Linked DNA regions of Arabidopsis thaliana. The protein of the gene in region 2 binds, or shares a complex with, the protein of the main gene of each other region. Each region holds a gene or a part of one and is shown on either strand. Other genes may lie near its edges.

Region 1 (7,702 bases), on a different chromosome or scaffold from region 2:
TTTAAATTAACAATAAATTTAACTAACATGTTTTCAAATTTTTTTTTTTGTATAAAGTAACATTAGTTTATAATAATTAAATACAAGTTTAATAAAAAAAAATTCTAATTTCATTTTTTTATCGGCTTTCTAATTTCATTTTTGTTTCCTTAAATACATTTATACACCGAATAAAATTATTTATTAGTTTCCTAAATTATTTATATATCTCTGAAGAAAAAAGAAAAGTAAAGTAAAGTAGCCGCCTCATCCTCCTCGTCTCTTCTCGTTAGCTCTCTCAATGAGGAGCCCGATTTAGGGTTTCCTCCATTGGTTATATCAATTCGATCATCTCCACAAAGCTCTCGAAGACTCTTTCGGTGATCTCATCTTCTTCTTCTTGTACGAATCTCTCACTCTCTCTTCATTTCGCGTTATAGGGGTTTCTCCAACATTTGCGTTTACGATTCTCACTTTTTCTGCTTCTATGAATACATTTTGATCTGGGTTTTTCGTTGATTGAAGTATTAGCTGATCCGATTTGACAAAGTTTGAAACTTTCGTTGCTTAGGTTAATCTCTTGACTAGACTTTTTATCTTGCTTCTGTTTCTCAATCCGATTAGGCGATGAACTCAGGTTTTGTGCGATTGCAATTTGTATATATGACTATTGAAGCTTATCATATAGATCTCTTGCTAATCTTGGTTTTTAAGAACTGTATTCCTCTTTCAGGCTTGTTACTAGCATTTACAAATTTTCAGTTTGATGTTGCTTATGAGAAGGTTACTTATTGCAGGTTTAGCCTCCTGGAGGTTACTTTGTTTGTTACTAGTTCCAAAACATGCCGAAAGAGAGGAAAGAACGGTCCGTATCTCTTGATAAGTATAAACGATCGCCACTGTGTTGTGAGGCAAGCCTTGCTTTGAAGCCGAGTGAGAAACAAGTTAAGGAATGGGAAGAGGCTCGTTGTCCTGTTTGTATGGAACATCCTCACAATGGGATTCTTCTCATTTGTTCTTCTTATGAAAATGGTTGTCGACCTTACATGTGCGACACTAGCCATCGGCATTCTAACTGTTTCGATCAGTTCCGCAAAGCTTCTAAAGAGAAACCTTCTTTGTCTTTACTTCGTGAGGAAGAGGAAAGTAATGAACCAACTGAGATGGAAGATGTGGATTCAGACTCAACTGCTGTAAATCTATTAGGAGAAGCTGCATCTGAGATAACAGTTGTGGATTTAAGTGATGGTGAGAGAGGAGAAGAAGAAGTAGAAGAAGAAGAAGAAGAAGTAGTAGTAGAAGAAGAAGAAGAAGGAATTGTAACAACAGAAGAAGATCAAGAAAAAAACAAACCACAAAAGCTTACTTGTCCGTTATGTCGTGGACATATAAAAGAATGGGTAGTTGTTAAAGCAGCTCGATGTTTCATGAACTCAAAACATAGAAGCTGTTCTTGTGAGACTTGTGATTTCAGTGGAAGCTATTCCGATCTGAGAAAGCACGCAAGGCTTCTACATCCAGGAGTTAGGCCATCAGAAGCAGATCCAGAGAGACAGAGAAGCTGGAGGAGGCTAGAAAGGCAGAGCGATTTAGGGGATTTACTTAGCACACTCCAATCTTCTTTTGGAGGAGATGAAATAAGTAACGATGATGGGTTTCTATTTGCTGATACTCGCTTGCTTACAGTGTACTTTCTCATCCGCGTGTTTAGACCAGAATCGAGTGGCTCAAGGAGTAGTAGCTGGTCTGGTACATCTAGAGCTAGGACACATACAAGTGGGAGAAGAAGATCTTCAAGACCTGCAAGTCTTTGGGGAGAGAGCTATGAAGGTAATACAGGAACATCACCTAGAGATGAGGAGAATAATCAATCTTCTGATGAACAAGTGTCTGGAACTCGGAGACGTCGTTCTAGAAGAAGAACTGTCATTGATGATGATGATGAAGAAGAAGAACCGTGATGCTCTGCAGTTTGGAAATTTGGTCTTTGGAGTTTATGATAAAATGGGGGAAACCTTGTAGTAATAACCCCACTTATGAAACCCTATTATGTAAAATTTCTTTGGAGATTGAAAAAAGTTTCTACTATTGGGAAACAAAATGTTCAATATTTCATTACCGTTTAAATATCTTTTTGATAATGACTCTTCAAACAACAAAATGTAAATCTCTTCACCATACAAAAAGACAAAGGAATTGTAATTAACATTTGTCATAGACAATTATCTTCTCTGCAGCTTTACAACACTAAAAAGAGCTTGAAACTGAAGTAATTTAAGCAGAGGCTGCTGGCTCTGAAGTTGCTGCTTCTGCTGCTGCAGCTCTCTTCTTGGCAAAGTATTCATCTGCTCGTGCTTGGTTCTTTGCAACAGATGGCTTAACCCATTTCTTTCTTCCCGGCAACACAGTGAGTGTACAACCTGAAGCTTCAAGCTTCTCTTTTGCTTGTGTTGAGAAGGCACGAGCTTTGAAGGTGAGCTTCATGCTTAGTTCTCCTGTACCCAGAATCTGAAATCCAAGACCAATCAAAACGTTTAAATAAAGAAAGAAAAGACGAAAGCACAATCGAAAGAAGTAGGATCAACAAGTTTGGAAAACTAACCTTAAGAGGGAGTTTCCTTTCTCTCCCTGAAGGATTAATCAAACCCTTTTGCTTCAATGTCTCCAATGACACTTCATCTCCCTCTTGAAACCCAGCTGTTTCTATGTCTTTGATATTAACCGGTAAGTATTTAGGTAATCCTGAACGCATACCTGTTTAAAGAACACAGTAACGCAACGATGCATCAGAAATATATCTCTATTGGTTTGAGCTAATTAGCAAAATCGAACCATGAAATATCTCTATTCACTAACTACAATCTTGATCCATAGTTGTCAATTCATGGCTCTCTTACCCAATATTAAATCTATGAAACAAATGTGCCCTAACTAAATAAAACTGAAAGCAGCATCACCAAATTTAAACAGAGCCTTTTGGATGAGACATTTCATCGAACATTTGGGCTACACAAAACTTGGATACCAAACAAAAACAAAACTTTACCTCCAGCGATTCCTCTAAGTTTGGGAAGACGACGATAAAGAGCAGTTTGACCACCTTCAAAGCCTCTCATAATCCCAGGACCCGATCTTGATTTCTGACCTCTCATACCAAAACCACAACTTGCTCCTTGTCCTGCAGAGATACCTCTACCTTTTCTCTTCTGCTTCTTCCTCGAACCTGGCTGTGGTCCAAGATTATCCAAACGGAATCTCTCCGGAGCTACAACTGCCGACGACGTAGCCGCCGTTTGGCTAACCACAACAAGGGGTCTCGCAAATTGCTGTTGGTTTCTCGTTTTAAGGGTTTGGTTGAGTTTCAGAGATAGAATCTGACTTGGGTTTGCCCCCAAAACACTTACATTTCCCTGTACACATTTCAAATTCCAATTTTACGGATTCATTCAAAATTGACATTTGTAGAAGAATGAGAGATTACCTTGAATGAAGTAGAAGATAAGTGGAGACGGTAACAATGGCGGGAGGTGAGAGGATTTGATGAGATTGAGAGTGGAGTAGCCATGGTCACAGGGAACAACAGATGAAACAAAGCTTCAAGGATAAGGTTGAGGAAGATAGATAGAGAGAGATAACTTTCTTGAGAAACTTAAGAGTTAAACGACATCGTCTTACATAATCACTTAATTGTTTATTGGGCCTTTCACAGCAAATTTAGGCCTTTTCGTTTTCAATAAAAGAGTCGTTACTCGTTCGTATCAATTCGTTTGTGTCCAAAGTGGGTTTTCAGATAAGCTCATGTCTGAATTAGTCGGGATGATCAAGACACCAGTGCCAATAAAAGAAACGATAAGAAATTATAGTATTTATACTAACTTGATATATATAAACACAAATATTTATACACATAACACAATTATAAGTTCAAACTACAACCCCAAATCAACACCTGAAACTACAACCCCAAATCATTACACAATCTCAATTAACCACATAGAAAATTATATATATTGGTGAATTTTGTAACTTCCTTAATCTTTAATCTTTGCGAAGTCTTTTCTTCACGACAAGAAGAGAACAATCTGTATTTTGTGTACACCTGCATTTAATTAAAAGATGTTTGTTATCTCAACTTTTCCATCAATACTAAGTTTTTTAACTGATATTTTGAAATTAAAAGATGTTTCTTACTTTTTGAGACTTTGTTGATCGCTCGTAACTATTAAATTGATATTTCGTTCTTGAATTATCTTGCGGATTAGATCTTTAGGGTCTCCATCATCAGTAAATGTCTCTGCCTTGATCTGTTTTCAACATGATTATGATGAGATCATGAGACTAAAATATTGCAACAAATGGTTGTCATGAAAAGAACTTCATTTTTTTCTTTTAAAACTTTGGTATTTAAAAATATATATATGATATTGTATTAATAACAAGTTAAATGATTCAGTCAATAGATTATTACCCCATGATTTAAACATATCTTCTTGGCTTTCTCTAATATACCCAAAGCAATTTTCATATTCTTTTCTTGAGCCAATCTTATGAGTTCTGAATCTGCAAAACACACATAAAAACTGATCAATTTTCAACAAAAGAAAGTACTAGGTGAAAATGGATAGAAAATTTGATATTTATTGAAAACTCCCAACAAATTAGTCGATAAAATGACTTACTAGGTGAAAATGGATAGAAAATTTGAGCAAAGCCGACTGATGAAGAAAGTACGGTAGGAGGAGTAAAGGAATTTTGTGGCTGTTTTGCAAAGATATAAACTTTGGAGCTCTCAATGGTATCTTTTTGGTTTTCAAGTGCCCAAATGAGTAAATCATAACTTGCGTTGCTCTCGTCAATAATCAGCATAACATTCTTCATCTTCTCTCTTTGTTTCTTCTTCTCCTTTCTTCTTCTAGCTTCTGCTAAAACCTCTTGTCAATGTGCAACTTTATAGTATATTTGGAAGTGGATTAACTTGTCAAAGGAAGTAATATAAAAAAAAATCTTAGGTGATTGGGTAATTGAAAGGCATGGGTTAACGACTTGATTCTGGCTTCTTCTCGTTTGCAAAATAAAATAAAATTATACACACAAGTAATACTATATTAAACCCGTGTGTAGTGGCAAAGTAGGTTTGGATTAGAACCAAAAGCGTAAAATCGCTATAACTTCAAGTTCAATCCCACAATATGCAATCATTTAAAGAAATTACATAACGATTTATAGTGATTTAATCTCCATGTTATATCACTTGATCATTTAGATTTCGGTTCAGATTCTGCTTAACTTGTGATGAGTTTGCGGAAAACGTTTTACTGAAATTTTCAAAAGACTAGTCATATGCTTATTCAAATTAGGATAGAGACAATGCTAAGTCTAACAAAAAAACATTTGTATATCAAAAAAGAAAACAATCGAATAATATGATCTCATTCTACAACATATTACCAATTCTCCATTGAAATATTCCATTAATAAAATGGTGTGAGTGGACCGGTGTTTGGTAACTGCCGGATACACGCCATTGATGACATAAAACATTATTCTCTTTGTCGGAATTTTTAATCATAATTAAATATCATTAGAGAGAGTTGGTAAAAGAAAAGACATAATTAGCTAAACGGGCTAAAATGAAAAGTTAATGGGCCAAACAGACATATATCCAGCCCATTATAATCTCTGCATCTCCTACCTCTGAATCCCAAAAACCCTAGCGATTTTTTTCTTCTCTCCCGAGACGCTCTGTGATAGCGAAAGCATCTGTTGTAATCTAAGGTACTCGATGATTCTCCTTTTCCATTTTAGTTCTCATTTGAAGTATATAGAACTGTAAAAATTTGTTAAAGTTATAATTTTGGGTTTTAACGGAATTTAAAGTCTCGAACTTTCGATTCTGAGTATGATTTTGATGCTCATAGTACTACTCTTGAAATTTTAGATGATGTTAATGGAGATATTTAGCTTAAAGATGCTTACTTTACTCATCTGTTGAGCATAGGATCGTCTTAATCTTTTTACTCATTACTTGTAAATTTCTTCAAGCAATTGAGACATGTAGAGATGAGTTATGTTTTTTTCTTTTTTGGTGTCATTGTGTTAAAGGTTCTGTAATGGAGAAATCTAGAGAAAGCGAGTTCTTGTTCTGTAATTTGTGTGGGACTATGCTTGTCTTGAAATCAACCAAGTATGCAGAATGTCCACATTGCAAAACAACACGGAATGCAAAAGGTTTTGATGAATCTTTCTTGATATCATCAAATCAAAACAAAGTTTTTGTTTCTTGGTTGGTTTAATCTTATTGCTGTGCTTTTATCGTTCAGATATCATCGACAAGGAAATAGCTTACACAGTTTCTGCTGAGGTATGCATCATACATTTTGTTTCGGTTTCATGGAGTAGCAAAAATCTCTCTGCTCTTGATTTGTGTTGTTAGTCAATTGTTATTAGGCTTATGAATACACACACACAGTAGAAAACCAGTTCTGTGCTATGTGATTACTTTCAGACCTGAAAAATGGATGACTGTTTTGTTATTCTTGCAAGAATATTTCATCATGATCTTTGCTTTTGGTAGGATATCAGAAGAGAACTAGGAATATCATTGTTTGGTGAAAAAACGCAGGCAGAAGCTGAGCTACCAAAGGTTTGTTTATACGAAACAGATTTTTATGTACGTGTTTTTTTCTGAATCCATGACTTGTAATTTTTGATGATACTTCTCTTTGCAGATCAAAAAGGCATGCGAGAAATGCCAGCATCCTGAGCTTGTATACACAACCAGACAGGTATAGTCCTCAAGCTTTTTGATTATGTGGTTTCAAGTTCTTGTCTTCTTGTTTCAATTTCAAAGTAAATGTTTTCATCGGATTTGCAGACGAGATCAGCTGATGAAGGACAGACAACATATTACACTTGCCCCAATTGTGCTCATAGATTCACAGAAGGTTGATGTTTCCATCATTGTGATTCAGATATTCACAGAGCATACCAGTTTTGTTTCTTACATTAATGTTGCATATTCAATGATTCAGTGCCATCATTAGAACCTTATGTATATGTAAACCAACTCAATTTTGCAATGTCATGTAGTGTTCTTTAATCTTACTTATTGACAAATATTATCACTTTAATACGAAAAGAATATCCAAATAAGCACCAGAGCAAAACTTGTAAGCACGCTCACTAATACACTTGCACGTCAAAACTAATCTTACTCCTTAATCCAACGGCTACAAATCCGTTGACTACGATGACTATCGTAGATGCACTGTACATTATCACCACACCAAATCATTCCCACCTCTCAGTTTAAAAACCCAACTTAAACATTTAAACCTCTCAAACAGTTTCAAAACAAGAACCATGGAAACGGCGTCGTTTAATCCTTCGTCTTTTCTGGCTACTTTCCCGTCGTTTCTCCTCCTCTTCCTCGCCGTATACACCATCGGCTATTTCCTAGTTTTCCGTACATGGAAACAATCATCACATTTAGGCGCTAGCTGCTTAATGTCACTCTTCCACGGCACTCCCGCCGTTATAATGGCTTCCCACGCGCTGCTCACAACTCCACGCGCCGACGTACACTCATTCGCTTCTCCCAATACCGCCGTGGAATCAAACGTACTCGACTTCAGCATGGCTTATTTCACCGTTGATCTTCTCCATTACTTAATCTTCCTCCCTAACGACTTCATCTTCATCCTCCACCACATTGCGACCCTAT
Region 2 (9,014 bases):
ATAGACTGAGGGTGAATTTCAGTGCCATAGAGGCAAGTGCACTAACTCTGTTGAAGAGGTCATATCTGGTATAGAACCTTCAAGGGGTGCCTCTCCACCACCTTCATTTAAAACAAACTCCTGCAGGTGGTTATGTACGATTATGATTTCAATCAAAATGAGTTGCAGTTTGCACTTCCTAAATGAACATAAAATTATGAGTTCTGGCAGAGCAGGTTTCAAGTTTCAAACCTTCAGAGCCGCTACCATCACCCAAAAAGCTGAGGAGTTTGAATTCACTTCAGCACAACTATCATTAATTAATTTTTGAACCTCTGAGCCTGGAAGAGAAAACAGGTTTGGTTCAACATGAAGAATACTGTGATTTGACCCGTGACAGAGCTTTCTGTTAGTTTAGCTCCAATATCAACAATCGCTACACCTATTAACTCAACCATGGAAACAGTAAACATTCTAAGTCAAGTTTCTACCTAGACCAAACAAGATATCTACTTACTGATTCCTCGAGGAGCAAAAACTTTGAAAGCGGCTTCAATGGCTTCTTTGTAGTTATCTTCATCCGTAGATACCATCTTGGACTTAACCAAATCCTAAGAATTCAAGGATATAGATAATTAAAACAAGAAAGCAAGCTCGCTAATAAATTTTATAAGTTACAAAAAAGAACTAAACCTTAAACTCTTTTTTCTCTTCCCTGGTTGAGGGAAGATTACCACTATGGGATTGAGCCCACTCCTCAGCCATCTTTACAAGAATGACGACGTAAGGTATGTGCTTATGTGCAGCGGCCGGCTCTGATACATTCAGATCAATGGTCTCCACAAAACTGCCGTTCATTAAATAATTAAGAATATCAGTAAGTACTCAGTCGTCCATCCACAACCATAATGTTAAAGGATGCCAGAACAACATAAAGTGAGAGGATATGAGAGCAGTGGACCTCTTGAGTTCAGGCCATGGATTATTCAGGCGGAGGTCGTCAAGAAAATGATCAGGTTTTGAGTCAATTATGGGGTGCTCCTGATAAAAAAGAAAAGAAGAGAGCTTAGCATATATTCTCATTGGCCAATATCCTAACCACGGCATACCACAAAGTAATCTAAACTTTATCACAAATTGGGTCTAGACAGGTGGTATTAATTACCTTTACAGAGATGCGAACAAACCCAGCAAGGCCATAAGAGCGAACCAAAACCAACTTAACGTTTGCATCTCGACAGATTCTATCAAGTTTCAACATTGAATCTTCCACCAGCTGCAACCAATCAATGTCGAAAAGGGGATGAAATAACGAACTTAAATAACAATAACACAGGAAAAAGAAGCCTAATAAAGCAATATCCCGTGAAGAGGACGAGGAAAAGTACATATGAGAAACTAACTAAAGAACATTGAATAGAAGGTATCATGATCCATGGTGAGTGACTGTGTAAGCAAAGATTAGAACTTTGAAAAATTGTAACACACAAATCATTAGAGAAGATTACAAATAGAAAAACAATGGTACCTGAGTGGCTATAACGAGAGTGAACTGAGAGAAGAAAGATGGGTTAGTAGTAATCAACGTGTCTGGATTCTCCTCAATAAACTTGGCGTTAACAGAATCATTAAGCTCTTGGAGAAACGCACAAACAGATTTGGCTTTTGATTGGCCAACACTCTTCGCATCGACTTCACATGAAAAAAAAAAATCATCATAACGCAAGCAAGTCCCCCAAAACCCCCAGAAGAAACACAATCAAAAAGTTTCAAAATTAGTCAGTACCCATGAAATTGTTCCCAAGGTCACCAAATTGAACCTTAGATCCATCAACAACGGTGATGCTACCAACACCACCAAGTACGAGATTCTTCAAAGCCTCGGAACCAGTAGGGCCACAATTGAGTAAACAGATACTCGCTTCTTCCAAGGCCGCTTGACCTACCTCCCCCCAAATCCTAATCAGTCAACCCAACGATTACTACTTCATCAATTTTCCTCCCGACAAGAGTAGTTCGAAGTAGAGTTTAAGGAAAAAGAGTATGTATACCTGAGCTGACGATCGTACTTGGTTTTAGGTTCTACCATTGTTGGCTCTTCTTCAACATGTCTCCTGGATCTTTTTACTGCTTGCATCTTCGCAGCTCAAGCGAGAGACGATTTTTGCCTCCGGTGAACTGATAAACAAAAAGACTTTTCTTCAATCAGGGTTTTTGTTTATTTCCGAATATTTTATTGTTTTTAGGAAATTTATCGTTTGAAAAAAGTTATCTACCAAATTAAAAAATCGATATTAATATCTTACTGATTTTTTATATATATAAGCAAATAAGAAAATTTTGTAAATATTTTTTTTAAAAAAAAATTGTGAAAAAGAAGAAGATATAAGCAAATAAGAATAATCACCATGATATTGTTTTTTGTTTTATTTCCGACTATTATTATTCTTATAGGAAATTTTCGTTTTTTAAAAAGTTATCTACCAAATTAAGAATACAGATATTAATATCTTACTGTTACGATTTTTTAGATATAAGAAAATAAGAAAATTTGTAATTAAAAAAAAGAAGAATAGATTAAAAAATTGTTTTAAAAAGTTTATCTACCATGATTTTTGTCCGATTTGGATTGGTTTGGTTCAATAAGGAAACATAACAATAGAATCACACCGATGAGGCACTTTGTGCCCAAGTTCTTGTTCAATCAAAGCACTAAAGAAATTTTTGTCAGAGCATCAAAAACAATTAATGGGTTCCTTTAAAAACTTACTCAAGAATCCCAACACAAACATCTTCATTTCTAAACAAATTTGAGCAAATACACATAAACATTGAAAGGAAGAGATAAGTAAGTAGATAATAATGAAAAATGAAGATCATTTCTTCTTTCCAGCTTTTCCTTCCTTCCTCCGAACTATCTCATCGGAATACTTGACTCCTTTCCCCTTGTATGGCTCTGGTGGCCTCCACTTCCTAACCGTTGCAGCAAACTGCCCGATTTCGCTCTTGTCGTATCCACTCACAGTGATTCTTGTGTTCTCTTCCACTTTCACTTTCAGACTATCCGGTATCTGCATCTTCACCGGGTGTGAAAACCCGAGATTTAGCACCAGCTCCTTTCCGTCTACTGTTGCACGATAACCAACACCCACAAGTATAAGCTTTTTCTCAAATCCCTTTGATACTCCCACAACCATGTTATCGGTAAGCGTCCTAAAAGTCACACAGAAGTTAAAAAAAAAGATTAGAGAACAAACGATCTTTTAACCTCAAAAAAGTTAAGGACTTCATTGGATGACAAGAAAAGATGAGAAGTTTGTAACCTGAAAAGGCCGTGCATTTGGTTGGCTCTTCTAGTTTCGACGGTTTTTTTGACCCTTAAGAAACCGGATTCTTCCTTTGTAAGCTCAACTTCGCGTGGGTAAGTTAAAGCCAGCTCTCCTAATGGACCCTTCACTTTCAAGTCTTGACCTTCCAATGCAATGGTTACATTGGAAGGTACAGCGATCGGTTGCTTTCCTATCCTTGATTCTTTGCACTCAATGGTCTTACTGGAGTAACCCACTTGAGCAAAAGGTGTGCTTGAGACCTTGAACACATTTCTATCTCCCAAAAATGCTGACCTAAAACAAAGGGGAAGTTATCTATCTATCTTCAGATAAAACATGTCAAGAAAGTAAAACTCTACCAGATATATATCTAAACCAATACACAGAAACTGTTATTGGAACAAAGATAACGTTAGATTAAGGAAGAGAAACATTCTTGTAGAACTTTCAGTTTCCATGGCTAAAAACCCCTCTAGAATCCTGCTTTTTACACAGTGAGTTCCGCATAACACATTCAAATTCCCAAAATAAAAATCCACAATTTCAAGAGTCCATAACCAATTCAACATTGCCATCGATTTAAAAAGATAAAAATAACCCATTCAAAGAGATTCCTTATACTTGGGAGGCTCATGAACACAGTTTATAGAGATTTTTGAGTAGAAAATGCCAAGTAAAGAAAACGAAACCCTAGCGGAATGAAGAAGCTCTATGGTTTGTAGTATATGAAAAGTACCTGGGTTGAAAAGATGAGACGAGTGAGGAAGCCATTGATAAGATTTGATGATGGAGCTCTAAGCTCTGCTCCAGAAGGAGGATGAAGAGAAGAAGAAGAGCGTTTTATCCAGAAAAGACTTATCCATCGTCAGCTTCTGTAATCCCCTCTTTCAAATCATTACTTTCACGGCCCATTAGCTCACTATTTTCGGCCCATTACTTTTAACCATCCTTCTGTGGGACAATTCATTATTTGTGTAACCCATTTATCTATATTGATCATGGCCTATTATCTCACTGTTTCTAGGCCCATTATTATAATAACTGTTCACAAAATTTACCCAATGAACGTGGAGTTTGGATTAGATTAATGAAGTCAATAGATTATTAGTAGATGCGTTTGGATCAAAATTGTGCATCTTTCCCGATTAAGTATGTTTTCAAGTCGAATCTTTTAAAGGCATGGATTTTAAACTACTCTTAACAGACAAATTTAAAAATGAAATGGGCCCTTACCCTCAGAAAAATCCAAACAACAAATTGAGAAGATTCAAAGAAAAAAAAGATGAACTGTATATTTATTTTCCTGGTTCACATTTCATTTGGTCAAGATATTCTTGTTCTAAATAAATAAAAAGTTCGATACCGACAAGATATTTGTGGATTCAGTGGCATATTTTATTTTGTGTTAACAATTAACAAATGAAAATTTCAATAAGGAACTATGTAATAACAAATGCAGCTCTTATAAGTTTTTTTTAATAACATTCCTTAATGAACACTCTAAAGACAAAAAATAGTCGACCATGTGTTTCATGCACCTTTTATCATATGAAATCAATAGTACAATTACTTTACTATTTATGTCTGAAAATATCTTTTTCTTTTCTTTTTTTTTTGTGTGAAATTGATTTGACAACCGTTGAGGAGACTTATTCTTTGACGAAGGCGGCCTTGGAGCAATTAGGTCGTCACTCCTCACATTCACATTTTCAATTATTATTTTGCCTCATGTCATACGTAGTTACCCTAATTACCATTTAACTATATCCGTTGTAACCAAAAAGAAAAATGCATCAACTACCTTAATAAATGATAGTTACCAATAAGAGCCAACGTAAAAATTTGATTTATCGAATAGTATGAGGACACAAGTAAAGCATCGATCATACTACCCCACACCTTGGCCTACGTCTTCACTGACCACTCCAGAAATAGCACTCCAAAACAAAATTTACAAAATTTCATAAAATACCAAAAAAATAAGTAATGATAAGGAAGAAAATAGGGAAAAAAAAGGAGAGAGAATATTATGAATTATTCTTTGCTTGAGCTCAGAAACAGTTCTTCTTCTGCTTCTTCGACTTCTTTTCTCTGTCTTTCTTCTTTATGCTTAGTGCTAAATCACTCGTTTACTTGTGAAGATTATGGATCTCTGATTAAAGTTTGTTTCTCGTATTTATTCCAAGGTTGCTTCTTCTTTTTCTCAATTGGATCTTTTAATTTTTGTTTTTCTTTATGTTCTTACATATATAATCTTTAGTTATTTGTTCATTGAATTATTTATTACACTTTTTGCTTCTTTCTCTGCGAACCATCTTTAAGACGGCCCTCTTACACTTCATTATTTTCAGTTCTTACTTGCACATGTAAAGCACCAGTTTCTAGAATCAAAGGGCCTCATATAAATACATTATTTTATACACTATAAATAAATATACAGACACAAAAATCTGTATACACCAATCTCTCTACAGAATCTAACTCCCGATTTCTTGGTTGGTTTTGCCTTCTTTCACCAGATTTCTGGACCATCTTTTTTGTCTTTTGTTATAATCTCAATTTTGATTCAGGTTGGGCATTGTTTATTTCGCAGGTGTTACTCCAAATAAATCAAATGGTTATATGAGACCAGGACAAAGAAAAACTAGTGCTTTTGCTGGAAATTGTGATAAAGATGGGATTTTTGGTGATGATAAGAGAAGTTTCCATGGCGAAAGCAATCAGAGTTGTGTTGTTATGTGTTTCTGTCTTGTGGGTTGTTCCAAAGGAATGTGCTTGTAGAAGTAATTTCTCTAGAAACTCGTCTTCTTCTTCTTCTTCTTCTTTGCGGCCATTAAGACAGAGGCCAAGCTCTGTGAATGTTGGAGCTCTGTTTACTTATGATTCTTTTATCGGAAGAGCGGCTAAACCCGCGGTTAAAGCAGCTATGGATGATGTTAATGCTGACCAAAGTGTTCTTAAGGGCATCAAGCTTAATATCATCTTTCAAGACTCAAATTGCAGTGGATTTATCGGCACCATGGGAGGTATATATACTGCTTCTCCTTCTTCTTCTCTCTTACTACTGTGGCCAACTTTTTAACTCAGAACTAGTTTGTGAAAATGCCCCCAAAGAATGAGTGATGATTATGTTTCATCTTATGGTGTAGCTTTGCAGCTGATGGAAAACAAAGTGGTTGCAGCCATTGGTCCACAATCTTCAGGGATTGCTCACATGATCTCCTATGTAGCTAATGAGCTTCATGTACCTCTCTTGTCATTTGGAGCAACGGATCCGACTCTCTCCTCTCTGCAATTTCCTTATTTCCTCCGCACCACGCAGAATGATTACTTCCAAATGCATGCGATCGCAGATTTTCTATCATATTCCGGATGGAGACAAGTCATTGCGATATTCGTTGATGATGAGTGTGGCAGGAACGGGATATCTGTCCTTGGCGATGTATTAGCCAAGAAACGCTCGAGGATCTCTTACAAGGCTGCAATTACTCCTGGTGCAGATTCTAGCTCCATCAGAGACTTGTTGGTTTCTGTTAATCTGATGGAATCTCGGGTTTTTGTTGTCCATGTGAATCCTGACTCTGGTTTAAACGTTTTTTCTGTGGCTAAATCTCTTGGAATGATGGCAAGTGGTTATGTTTGGATCGCAACAGACTGGCTTCCTACAGCTATGGATTCCATGGAGCACGTGGATTCAGACACGATGGATCTCTTGCAAGGAGTGGTTGCTTTTCGCCACTACACAATCGAGAGTAGTGTCAAAAGACAGTTTATGGCGAGATGGAAGAATCTTAGACCAAATGATGGCTTTAACTCTTATGCGATGTATGCTTATGATTCTGTTTGGTTAGTTGCTCGTGCCCTCGATGTTTTCTTCAGAGAAAACAATAACATAACTTTCTCCAACGATCCAAATCTGCACAAAACAAATGGTAGCACTATTCAGCTATCAGCACTAAGTGTTTTCAATGAAGGAGAGAAGTTTATGAAGATCATTCTTGGGATGAATCATACTGGTGTGACGGGTCCAATCCAGTTTGATTCAGATAGAAACCGGGTTAATCCGGCTTATGAAGTTCTAAACTTAGAAGGTACAGCTCCACGCACAGTCGGGTACTGGTCAAATCATTCGGGTCTCTCTGTGGTCCATCCAGAGACCTTGTACTCTAGGCCTCCAAACACATCTACAGCAAACCAGCGTCTTAAAGGAATCATATATCCAGGAGAAGTAACTAAGCCTCCTCGTGGTTGGGTGTTTCCTAATAATGGAAAACCGCTCAGAATCGGGGTGCCTAACCGTGTGAGCTATACAGATTACGTTTCTAAGGATAAAAACCCGCCTGGCGTTAGAGGCTACTGCATTGATGTCTTTGAAGCCGCTATTGAATTGCTTCCATATCCTGTTCCACGTACTTATATACTATATGGAGACGGGAAGAGAAATCCTTCTTATGATAACCTCGTCAATGAAGTTGTTGCGGATGTGAGTAGCTACATTACTCAATCAAGTTCACAACTTTCAGAAGATGCTAACCTGTCTTTTCTCATGTTTCCTCTTCAGAATTTTGATGTAGCTGTAGGAGATATCACAATCGTCACAAACAGAACAAGATATGTAGATTTCACACAACCGTTTATAGAATCAGGGCTTGTGGTGGTGGCTCCGGTTAAGGAGGCCAAGTCTAGTCCTTGGTCATTCCTGAAACCATTCACTATAGAGATGTGGGCTGTCACTGGAGGCTTCTTTCTCTTTGTGGGAGCCATGGTCTGGATTCTCGAACACCGCTTCAACCAAGAATTCCGTGGCCCTCCTAGGCGTCAACTCATTACCATCTTCTGGTTAGTTTCCCAGTTCTTAACACTAGAGCCCGAGTTTACCTTTTAAACCTTATTTTCCTTCTCCTCTTCACTGTTACAGGTTTAGCTTCTCAACAATGTTCTTCTCTCATAGTAAGTACGCTATAATTCGAGTAACCTGGTAGATTTTCACACCAGGGCTTACAGAATGTTGGAGGGAAGTAAAGTGTTTTTACTTTATAACTTTTGAATCTTTCAGGGGAGAACACGGTGAGTTCACTGGGGAGGTTTGTGCTGATCATTTGGTTATTCGTGGTTCTGATCATCAACTCGAGCTACACGGCCAGTCTCACTTCGATCCTAACCATTCGACAGCTGACATCTCGGATTGAAGGAATAGATAGCTTGGTAACGAGCAATGAACCAATTGGAGTTCAAGACGGTACCTTTGCTCGGAACTATCTAATCAACGAGCTTAACATACTACCTTCAAGGATTGTTCCTCTGAAAGACGAAGAACAGTACCTTTCTGCTCTGCAACGCGGTCCCAACGCTGGCGGTGTGGCAGCCATTGTAGATGAGCTTCCTTACATCGAAGTTCTTTTGACAAATAGCAACTGCAAATTCCGTACAGTAGGGCAAGAGTTCACACGCACAGGCTGGGGTTTCGTATGTAAAATCGGTTTTGAGAAACTTACCTTCAAATATATTATCTTTGCTCCTTCTCTACAACTTTTCTTAGAATCTTGAAACCGATGTTGCAGGCATTCCAGAGAGATTCCCCTTTAGCTGTAGACATGTCAACGGCTATCTTGCAACTATCTGAAGAAGGCGAGCTCGAGAAAATCCATAGGAAATGGCTTAACTACAAGCATGAATGCTCGATGCAGATCTCAAACAGTGAGGACT
Region 3 (7,402 bases), on a different chromosome or scaffold from region 2:
ACATCCACCTGTTTCTCTTTTGTTACAATCATCTGATTAAAGCCATGAACAGCAATCCAATCGTTGACATACAAATCTGGATATATGAGTGGAACTCCATTGAGAAGAAGTATATCACCGGACAAAGAAATCTCAATCTCATACCCTTTAAGAACAGTCTGCAGAATCGATCCTTCCTTAGCAAATTTCTGAAGATCTTTCCATAAGAGAAGTTGACTGACAACATGTCCTCTGAAAATAGTAACGTAATCGGAGAATTTAGTAGTTGGATTTGGAATTGCTTCGTCGATCGGAGCAAAGACTGTGATCTTCGTGTCGTTTCCTGAAGTATTATCTTCTAATTGCAGAGCGAGAAACGTAGCTATAATCACGAAACCTCTCGACATTAACAATCTTGAAGCCGATTCAAAGATGTTGAAGCGATTCACTGGTTTAGATCTATTGGGAAGATTTCGAGTGGAATCCGAAGCGATATTAGGACTTGGAGGTGTTTGAGTCGCTGAGCTAGGGATAGGGATTGAACCAGTAGATGAAGTAGTGCTTGGGATTGAAGAAGAAGATGATGAATCGTCGGAGATTTTCGTCGGTGATGTGAAAAACTCGTCGGATCCGTAAATCACGACGTATCCGTCGTCAAAAACAGGAGAATCTTGGACTACGACGTTGTTGATCGAAGTTTTACCTCCGAATCGTGAAGAATTCGTGACGGTTAGAGAGTAATTAGATCTGAGAGTAGGGATTTTGGCGCCATTTGGGAGGTTTCTTAAGGTTTCTCCTGGGAGTCTCGTCGGAGAGAGCTGGTACTTCATATCGAGAAGCGAAGGTTGACCAAACTTAGAGAAAGATTGATCAGAAGGTGCGAAGAGGGTGAGTTCTTGCCAATCTTCGAGGTTTAGATCTTGATTCGCGAGCTTTAGTGTGAGTCCCATGGATAAGTAGCCGGAATCGGAAAGAACTTCCACGGCGGATGAAACAGATGTCATAGAAGTTGCGACGAGATCGATATCGAGAACGAAAAATATGAGGAAGAAGGTCGTTAGAAGCTTCGACGCCATTGATGCGTTCTTCGAGCTTTTTTTTTCGTTTGGTTTCAGAGAAAAGCCGTTGCAGAGGAAGTTACAGTTTTTATAGTCCGTCCTATTAAGAGAGGGAAAATATTTACTGGGCTTTTTATTCATAGGCCCATGTGTTTTTTTGTCAACAGGCCCATATGTTTTTTTCTTTTTTAGTTTTCAGTTTTTCACATTTTCCCTCCCGCTTCTTTTTCTTATTTCCCTCTCTAAAAACAAGAAAACATTTTTACATTTTCCCTCCTAAATCTCCAAATTTTCAGAATAAATATCTCAATTACAAATCCATGATAATCCACACAACAATAAACACTCATCGATTAAATCTTCTTCACCGGAAAAAATGCCTTCGATGCCAGAGGAACCAATCCTAACACCAACACCAGATCGATTCTGTATGTTCCCAATCCAATACCCACAGATTTGGGAGATGTACAAGAAAGCCGAAGCATCCTTCTGGACAGCCGAAGAAGTCGATCTCTCTCAAGACAATCGCGACTGGGAAAACTCACTAACCAACGACGAACGTCACTTCATTAAACACGTCCTCGCCTTCTTCGCCGCATCAGACGGAATCGTTCTCGAGAATCTCTCAACTAGATTCATGTCCGATGTTCAGATCTCAGAAGCTCGTGCCTTCTACGGATTCCAAATCGCGATTGAGAATATTCACTCCGAGATGTATAGTCTCCTTCTCGACACGTATATCAAAGACAACAAAGAGAGAGATCATCTTTTTCGTGCAATCGAAACCATTCCTTGTGACGAAAAAAGCAGAATGGGCTATGAAATGGATCAACGGATCTCAAAGCTTCGCTGAGAGAATCGTAGCGTTTGCTTGCGTTGAAGGTATATTCTTCTCCGGTAGCTTTTGTTCGATATTCTGGTTGAAGAAACGAGGTTTAATGCCTGGACTCACTTTTTCAAACGAATTGATTTCGAGAGACGAAGGTCTTCACTGTGATTTCGCTTGTTTGATATATAGTCTTCTTAGAACTAAGTTTGATGAAGATCGTTTGAAAGCGATTGTTTGTGATGCTGTTGAGATTGAGAGAGAGTTTGTTTGTGACGCGCTTTCTTGTGCCTTGGTTGGGATGAATCGTGAGTTGATGAGTCAGTACATTGAGTTCGTTGCTGATAGGTTGTTGGCTGCGCTTGGGTGTGGTAAGGTGTATGGTGTGACTAATCCTTTTGATTGGATGGAATTGATTTCGCTTCAGGGTAAGACCAACTTTTTTGAGAAGAGAGTTGGTGAGTATCAGAAAGCTTCTGTTATGTCTAGTGTTCATGGAAACGCTGCGTTTAATGATGATCATGTCTTCAAGCTTGACGAGGATTTTTAGATTTTGCTTACTTGCTTTATTTTTAGTTTTGTAATTTTCAGTATAATGAAAAACAGATGAAGTTTAATTTGATAATGGACATTTAATTTCTTAATTATTTAACATAGTTTTTACATGGTTAACATATAACTAATCCGGATCCTAGTAATTACATGGGTCTACCCAAATCCAAAAAGGATTGGAGCCAATGACTTTGCTATATATTTCGTTCTTAAGAACATTGCTAGGTTTCTAGCTATATTGGTTTTGCCTCTTTATTGGCAGAGGGAGCACAAAGAGAATCCTCCCCTTTCGACATAAAAATGTTATTTTCTCATGGTCTTTTGGATGATTAGCAAGACTTACTCTTAAGTTTTTGCATAAGTATCTTACATCACTTTCTAACTCAACCTTCGAAATATGCATTTGTTTCAAACAATCCAGTGTTCATTTCCAAGTAGGTGTAGTGACTTATGATAAGAAAGCATGTCGATTATGGTAAAAATATTTTAGTGGCTGTTCACAATAATTCTATGAGAGAGAATCATTAGTAGGCAAATTGAATAGGAAACAGACATGATATCAAATTCTTTTGAAGGCAGAAAGAAATGAAAATATAGAAAACATAACTAAAAGAGAATAAACAACCAATTACCATTTACCGTTCCAAAGACCTTCATCGTCGAATTTCAAGAACAATGAAGGTCTTTGAAAGATACTTTTGTCAATAAATATGAAAACCATAAACAATTAGTAGAGATGAGAGATCACTATAACTCTCCTATGACTTTCCATCCAATCAAAAAGAAAAGTTTGTGTCCATGTCTCTATAACTCTATCCAACTTCTTTAAGATAAGATCATTTTCTCGCTTATTACACCAAGTATACAGCGGACCATGGGATGATAGGTCTCAAACAAAGCAATAGTTTACCACTGATTGAAAGTCTCTCATTCCATTGGTATAATAGGGTTGTCTTCAGCTCTAGAATGCTCCACAAGTTCTAAAATCTCATTAAAATCTCCAAACATTATTTAAGGCTTGCTACTAATGACAGGAGAGTCATAGTGATCTCTCATCTTGTTCATAATACTTTTTTCTCCTCTAACCAACTAGACAGTCTATGAAACTCAAATAATATAATTTTTAATTTTCGGTCAAAACTGTAAAAACATGTCAAAATCAAATAATATTTTTTTTTTGCCAAATCAGAAAATTACATTTTTCCGCCAATGTAAAAATAATTTTTAGAGTGACATTGTCAGTATAAATCCTAATTTATGTTTTAATATTATAGCTAAAGTCTATAATTATTTTTGGCTGCTTCTTGCATATTATTATTCTAAGTTTGGTTTTTGTTTTTATCTGAGAAATTTCTACTATATAATGAATATTTGAAACTGTAGTCTATATATTTAGATTTAATATTTTATACAACAAGTTGATATGGCCGAGTTGGTCTAAGGCGCCAGATTAAGGTTCTGGTCCGAAAGGGCGTGGGTTCAAATCCCACTGTCAACATTCACTTTTTTCTCTTTTTCCATTATTTACTTGCTGACGTGTACTCACCTTATCTTACATTATTTGATGACGTGTAATTTTAGTGGTCACTAATCGAGAGAGTGAGACGAAACGATAAGGAGAAGAACTTCTTCTTCAACCTCAGAAAACCCTAATTTCTCCATTTCGAAACTCCAACGAATTCTCTGGTGATTTTACCAATGGCGATGGCAACATCGATGAGTTTGAATCTAATTGGGGCATTCAAAGGCTTGTCTCTTTCTTCGACTTCGTCTTTTCTTAGAGGCGATTTGAGTTTTTCCCCCAAAACCTCTTTCACGGTGACTCTTCCTCTGGAAAATCTTCAAGCTCCGATTCCGTTGACAATTGAATCGGCCCATAAGAAAGGAGCTGGTAGCACCAAGAACGGTCGTGATTCTCCTGGGCAACGACTCGGCGTCAAGATCTACGGTGACCAAGTTGCTAAACCTGGTGCTATCATTGTTCGTCAACGTGGCACTAAGGTAACACTTAAGAACACAGAATTGTTGAAATTGAGAACCTCTTAAGCTCCTCTTTCAATTCTCTTCTAATTTCACCGCAACTCTGTCAATTTGGTCAGTTTCTTATGGGTTTAGCTCTCAAGCTCTGTTTTCAGATTCCATTCTCGAACACATCTGGGTTTAGGATGAATTTTCGTATTTAGTAGCTCTTGTTTCTGATGCCATTGCCATTTCTCTGGAAGTTCTACGTTATGTTTGTGTTTAGGATGGAACTATATTGTTTGAGAAGATTGATTCATGAATGGTGATGTTTGGTGCAGTTCCATGCTGGGAAAAATGTTGGGATTGGTAAAGATCATACCATCTTCTCTTTAATCGATGGATTAGTCAAGTTCGAGAAGTTTGGTCCTGACAGGAAGAAGGTATACCTGTAGTTATACTGAGTAAGGTTTATAAGCTTTCTTAATCTTCTAGGATGTTAAAGGAAATGAGACTTGTTTTTGCAGATAAGTGTGTATCCAAGAGAAATTGTACCAGAGAATCCCAATAGCTACAGAGCAAGAAAGAGAGAAAACTTCAGATTGCAAAGGGAGAAGAAGAAGGCGAGACGCGAGAATTACTCGTACACACTTCCTACACCAGAACTTGTTCTTGCATCTGCCTCAGTCGATGATGCTGAAGCCAATCCGGAGTGCTAGAAGATTGAATGTGGAGTTTCCTTGTCTCTTTTTGTTTAGTCTTGTTTATGAAAAATGATCCTTTCAGAGTATTAAGAGTTGGTTGTATTGTCGAATCCAAGCCTCTCTTTTGTCAAATTGAGTCCCAAGCAGGCGGATTTTTACCCAACTTGAGTTATTAGTGTAATCAAATGGTTATTGTTAATTAGTCAAAGCCTCAAAGGTTTTAATTTAGTGAATTTCTCTTCCAACTTAGTAATTCTGAATCATTGATAAGAGAGACCACCAAACCTTTGAATGCCCCAATTAGATTTAGTCAAGTATAAATCTAGTTCAAGTGTCTATTTGAGGTTTTTTTATTATAAAAATTATAAAACTTATTTGGATCCCAAAAATGGATCCATTGTTAGTCTAAGAAGCCGAAGACTTTATGGGCCTTCTAGCGAAATAATGGGTTTTAGCCCAATTACTTAGCATTTCGGAATATGTAGATAGTGGTACAAAAAAGAAATTGAATAATATTCATTTTCGTCTATCATTGCATAATTAGTGGAATGAAATTATTATTCTATGTTTTTTTTTTTTCATTTATCTATATCTTGCTCATCTTGAATCCATCAATTTCGCTAACGTTTTACCTGTACCATATTAGATCCTTTGTGTTATCTTTAGGCCATATTTCACCAGCTTGAGGTCAAATACTTATACACATGTATGTAACGATATATATATGTAAGATGACGATATATTATTGAATAACACTAAAGGCCTAGAGCAAAAATAGTAATTGATGAGAAGTTTTAAATTCTAGGAGCAGTAATTAAGAAGAAGAACAAAGACAAATCCTAAAACAAAGCATATCAGTAGTAAAACCTTGTAGCACAAAGCAGAGAGGCACATACATGAGTGTAATAAATGAGCTATGCATAGACATGGACGTTGAGAACAACGAGAAAGAGGATAAGAAAGAGACCATAGAGAACAGTGTGAACGAAAATAGAAGCTACCGTCGTCTTCATGTTCATGAAACCCACCGGAGATTCTTTCCCCGGAAACTGCAGTATCAACCCTGGCGACAGAAACGCGAACAAAGCCGAAGCTATCAACGGTGCAGCCCAATCATGCATCTCTTCTTACAAGAACAAGAACAAAAGAAAAAGAAAAAGAGAAATGGAGAAAGAAAGAAGAGAGTGGGAAATAGGTTTGGATGGGTGAAAAAGGAGATGATGGAATTGTGAGAATGAGAATCTGATAAAGTCTAGTTCTTTACAATTAAAGGAAGAGAGAGATTTTTTGGAATTTTGCTTTAGGTGAGGTGTCTTAATTTAATCGTAATTGGCTATCGAAGGAGAGTTTGAATTTGAAACGATTCTAGCTTAAGCATATCAAATGCTCGATTGTATTAGAATAAACATGGTTTGAGCTGTATATCTATTCTATGCGGTTTGAGCGGTTTGAGCGGTTTAACCAATTTACGTGGTGCAGTTTTGCCTTTGGAAGAATAACTTTCAATAATATAATTGTACTCTGTTTTACAATTAAGCAATGTAAAAACAGAAGAAAAATAAACAATGTATGTAATTTGTAGAGAAACGGTTCTATGTCACATTCAAAATCCTATGTGATTCACATGAATAGCGACATATCTTTCGGTGATCAATAAATGTACACGCCACTTTTCGAAATACGTTTGGAGGAATTTTGTTATTTTATTACTTGGAATGTATTCTTGATTAGTAGAATTTGTTTGACTTGAGAAGACTAAATTAGATTACAAGTAACGGGTCCACCACTTGCTAAGCGACCAATATATTCCGTAAGAAGAGAACAATATTTCTCCACTTTTTTTTCCTACTAAAAACAAAAATTCAACTTTTTTATATAGTTATTGTACACTTTTCATATCTCCAAAATTTAGTATTTATAATTTTTTTTGGTGACTATAAAATCAAGACGATATAAATCTTAGTAATTTGTTTGACAAATATATTTTTTCCATCCCGAAATGCTAATCTTTTTACTTTCTAGTGGGCAATATATACGAGATTATCTCAAAATTGTAACAAAAAATAATAATGTTGGAATTAACTCAAAATAAATATGAAGAAAATAAAATAAGAATTGGGCTTAGCTCAGCTTTTCTTCTTTGTTTCAACTTTCAAGTCTCTGTTTTTGACTCTTTTACTCTCTCTCACGAGTCACGCCACCGCTTTATCGAAAAAAGGCGTCTGCTTTTACGTTTTCTACTTCACAGCAATGGCGGATTGGGCTCCAGTTCTCGTCGGAGTTGTATTATTCGTTATCCTTTCTCCGGGACTTCTTTTCTCGTT

Evidence for each region.
Region 1: emb2394 (region 2) and RPL15 share a complex: the UniProt entries of both Arabidopsis thaliana proteins name them as parts of the 50S ribosomal subunit.
Region 3: emb2394 (region 2) and RPL27 share a complex: the UniProt entries of both Arabidopsis thaliana proteins name them as parts of the 50S ribosomal subunit.

Annotation. Positions count from the first base shown.
Region 1 is NC_003074.8:9,489,015-9,496,716, forward strand, and holds RPL15 (ribosomal protein L15), read right to left. Parts: upstream 3,642-7,702; 5' UTR 3,545-3,641; coding exon 3,461-3,544; intron 3,390-3,460; coding exon 3,026-3,389; intron 2,734-3,025; coding exon 2,582-2,733; intron 2,488-2,581; coding exon 2,254-2,487; 3' UTR 2,041-2,253; downstream 1-2,040. Other genes in the region: AT3G25910 (MAP kinase kinase kinase, putative (DUF1644)), read left to right, coding at 822-1,940; AT3G25930 (Adenine nucleotide alpha hydrolases-like superfamily protein), read right to left, coding at 4,018-4,078, 4,171-4,283, 4,448-4,539, 4,659-4,857; AT3G25940 (TFIIB zinc-binding protein), read left to right, coding at 6,090-6,207, 6,300-6,340, 6,554-6,622, 6,708-6,764, 6,854-6,928; AT3G25950 (TRAM, LAG1 and CLN8 (TLC) lipid-sensing domain containing protein), read left to right, coding at 7,342-7,702.
Region 2 is NC_003070.9:1,499,660-1,508,673, forward strand, and holds emb2394 (Ribosomal protein L6 family), read right to left. Parts: upstream 4,195-9,014; 5' UTR 4,080-4,194; coding exon 4,045-4,079; intron 3,603-4,044; coding exon 3,303-3,602; intron 3,193-3,302; coding exon 2,856-3,192; 3' UTR 2,592-2,855; downstream 1-2,591. Other genes in the region: AXR1 (NAD(P)-binding Rossmann-fold superfamily protein), read right to left, coding at 47-120, 232-320, 497-590, 673-826, 941-1,020, 1,145-1,255, 1,508-1,671, 1,766-1,938 and 1 more; GLR3.4 (glutamate receptor 3.4), read left to right, coding at 5,983-6,334, 6,458-7,791, 7,870-8,147, 8,227-8,258, 8,365-8,774, 8,870-9,014. UniProt on the Arabidopsis thaliana protein: This protein binds directly to 23S ribosomal RNA and is located at the aminoacyl-tRNA binding site of the peptidyltransferase center.
Region 3 is NC_003076.8:16,406,753-16,414,154, forward strand, and holds RPL27 (ribosomal protein large subunit 27), read left to right. Parts: upstream 1-4,029; 5' UTR 4,030-4,113; coding exon 4,114-4,416; intron 4,417-4,715; coding exon 4,716-4,817; intron 4,818-4,901; coding exon 4,902-5,093; 3' UTR 5,094-5,362; downstream 5,363-7,402. Other genes in the region: FLA20 (putative fasciclin-like arabinogalactan protein 20), read right to left, coding at 1-1,178; AT5G40960 (transmembrane protein, putative (DUF 3339)), read right to left, coding at 5,993-6,199; AT5G40970 (hypothetical protein (DUF 3339)), read left to right, coding at 7,148-7,402.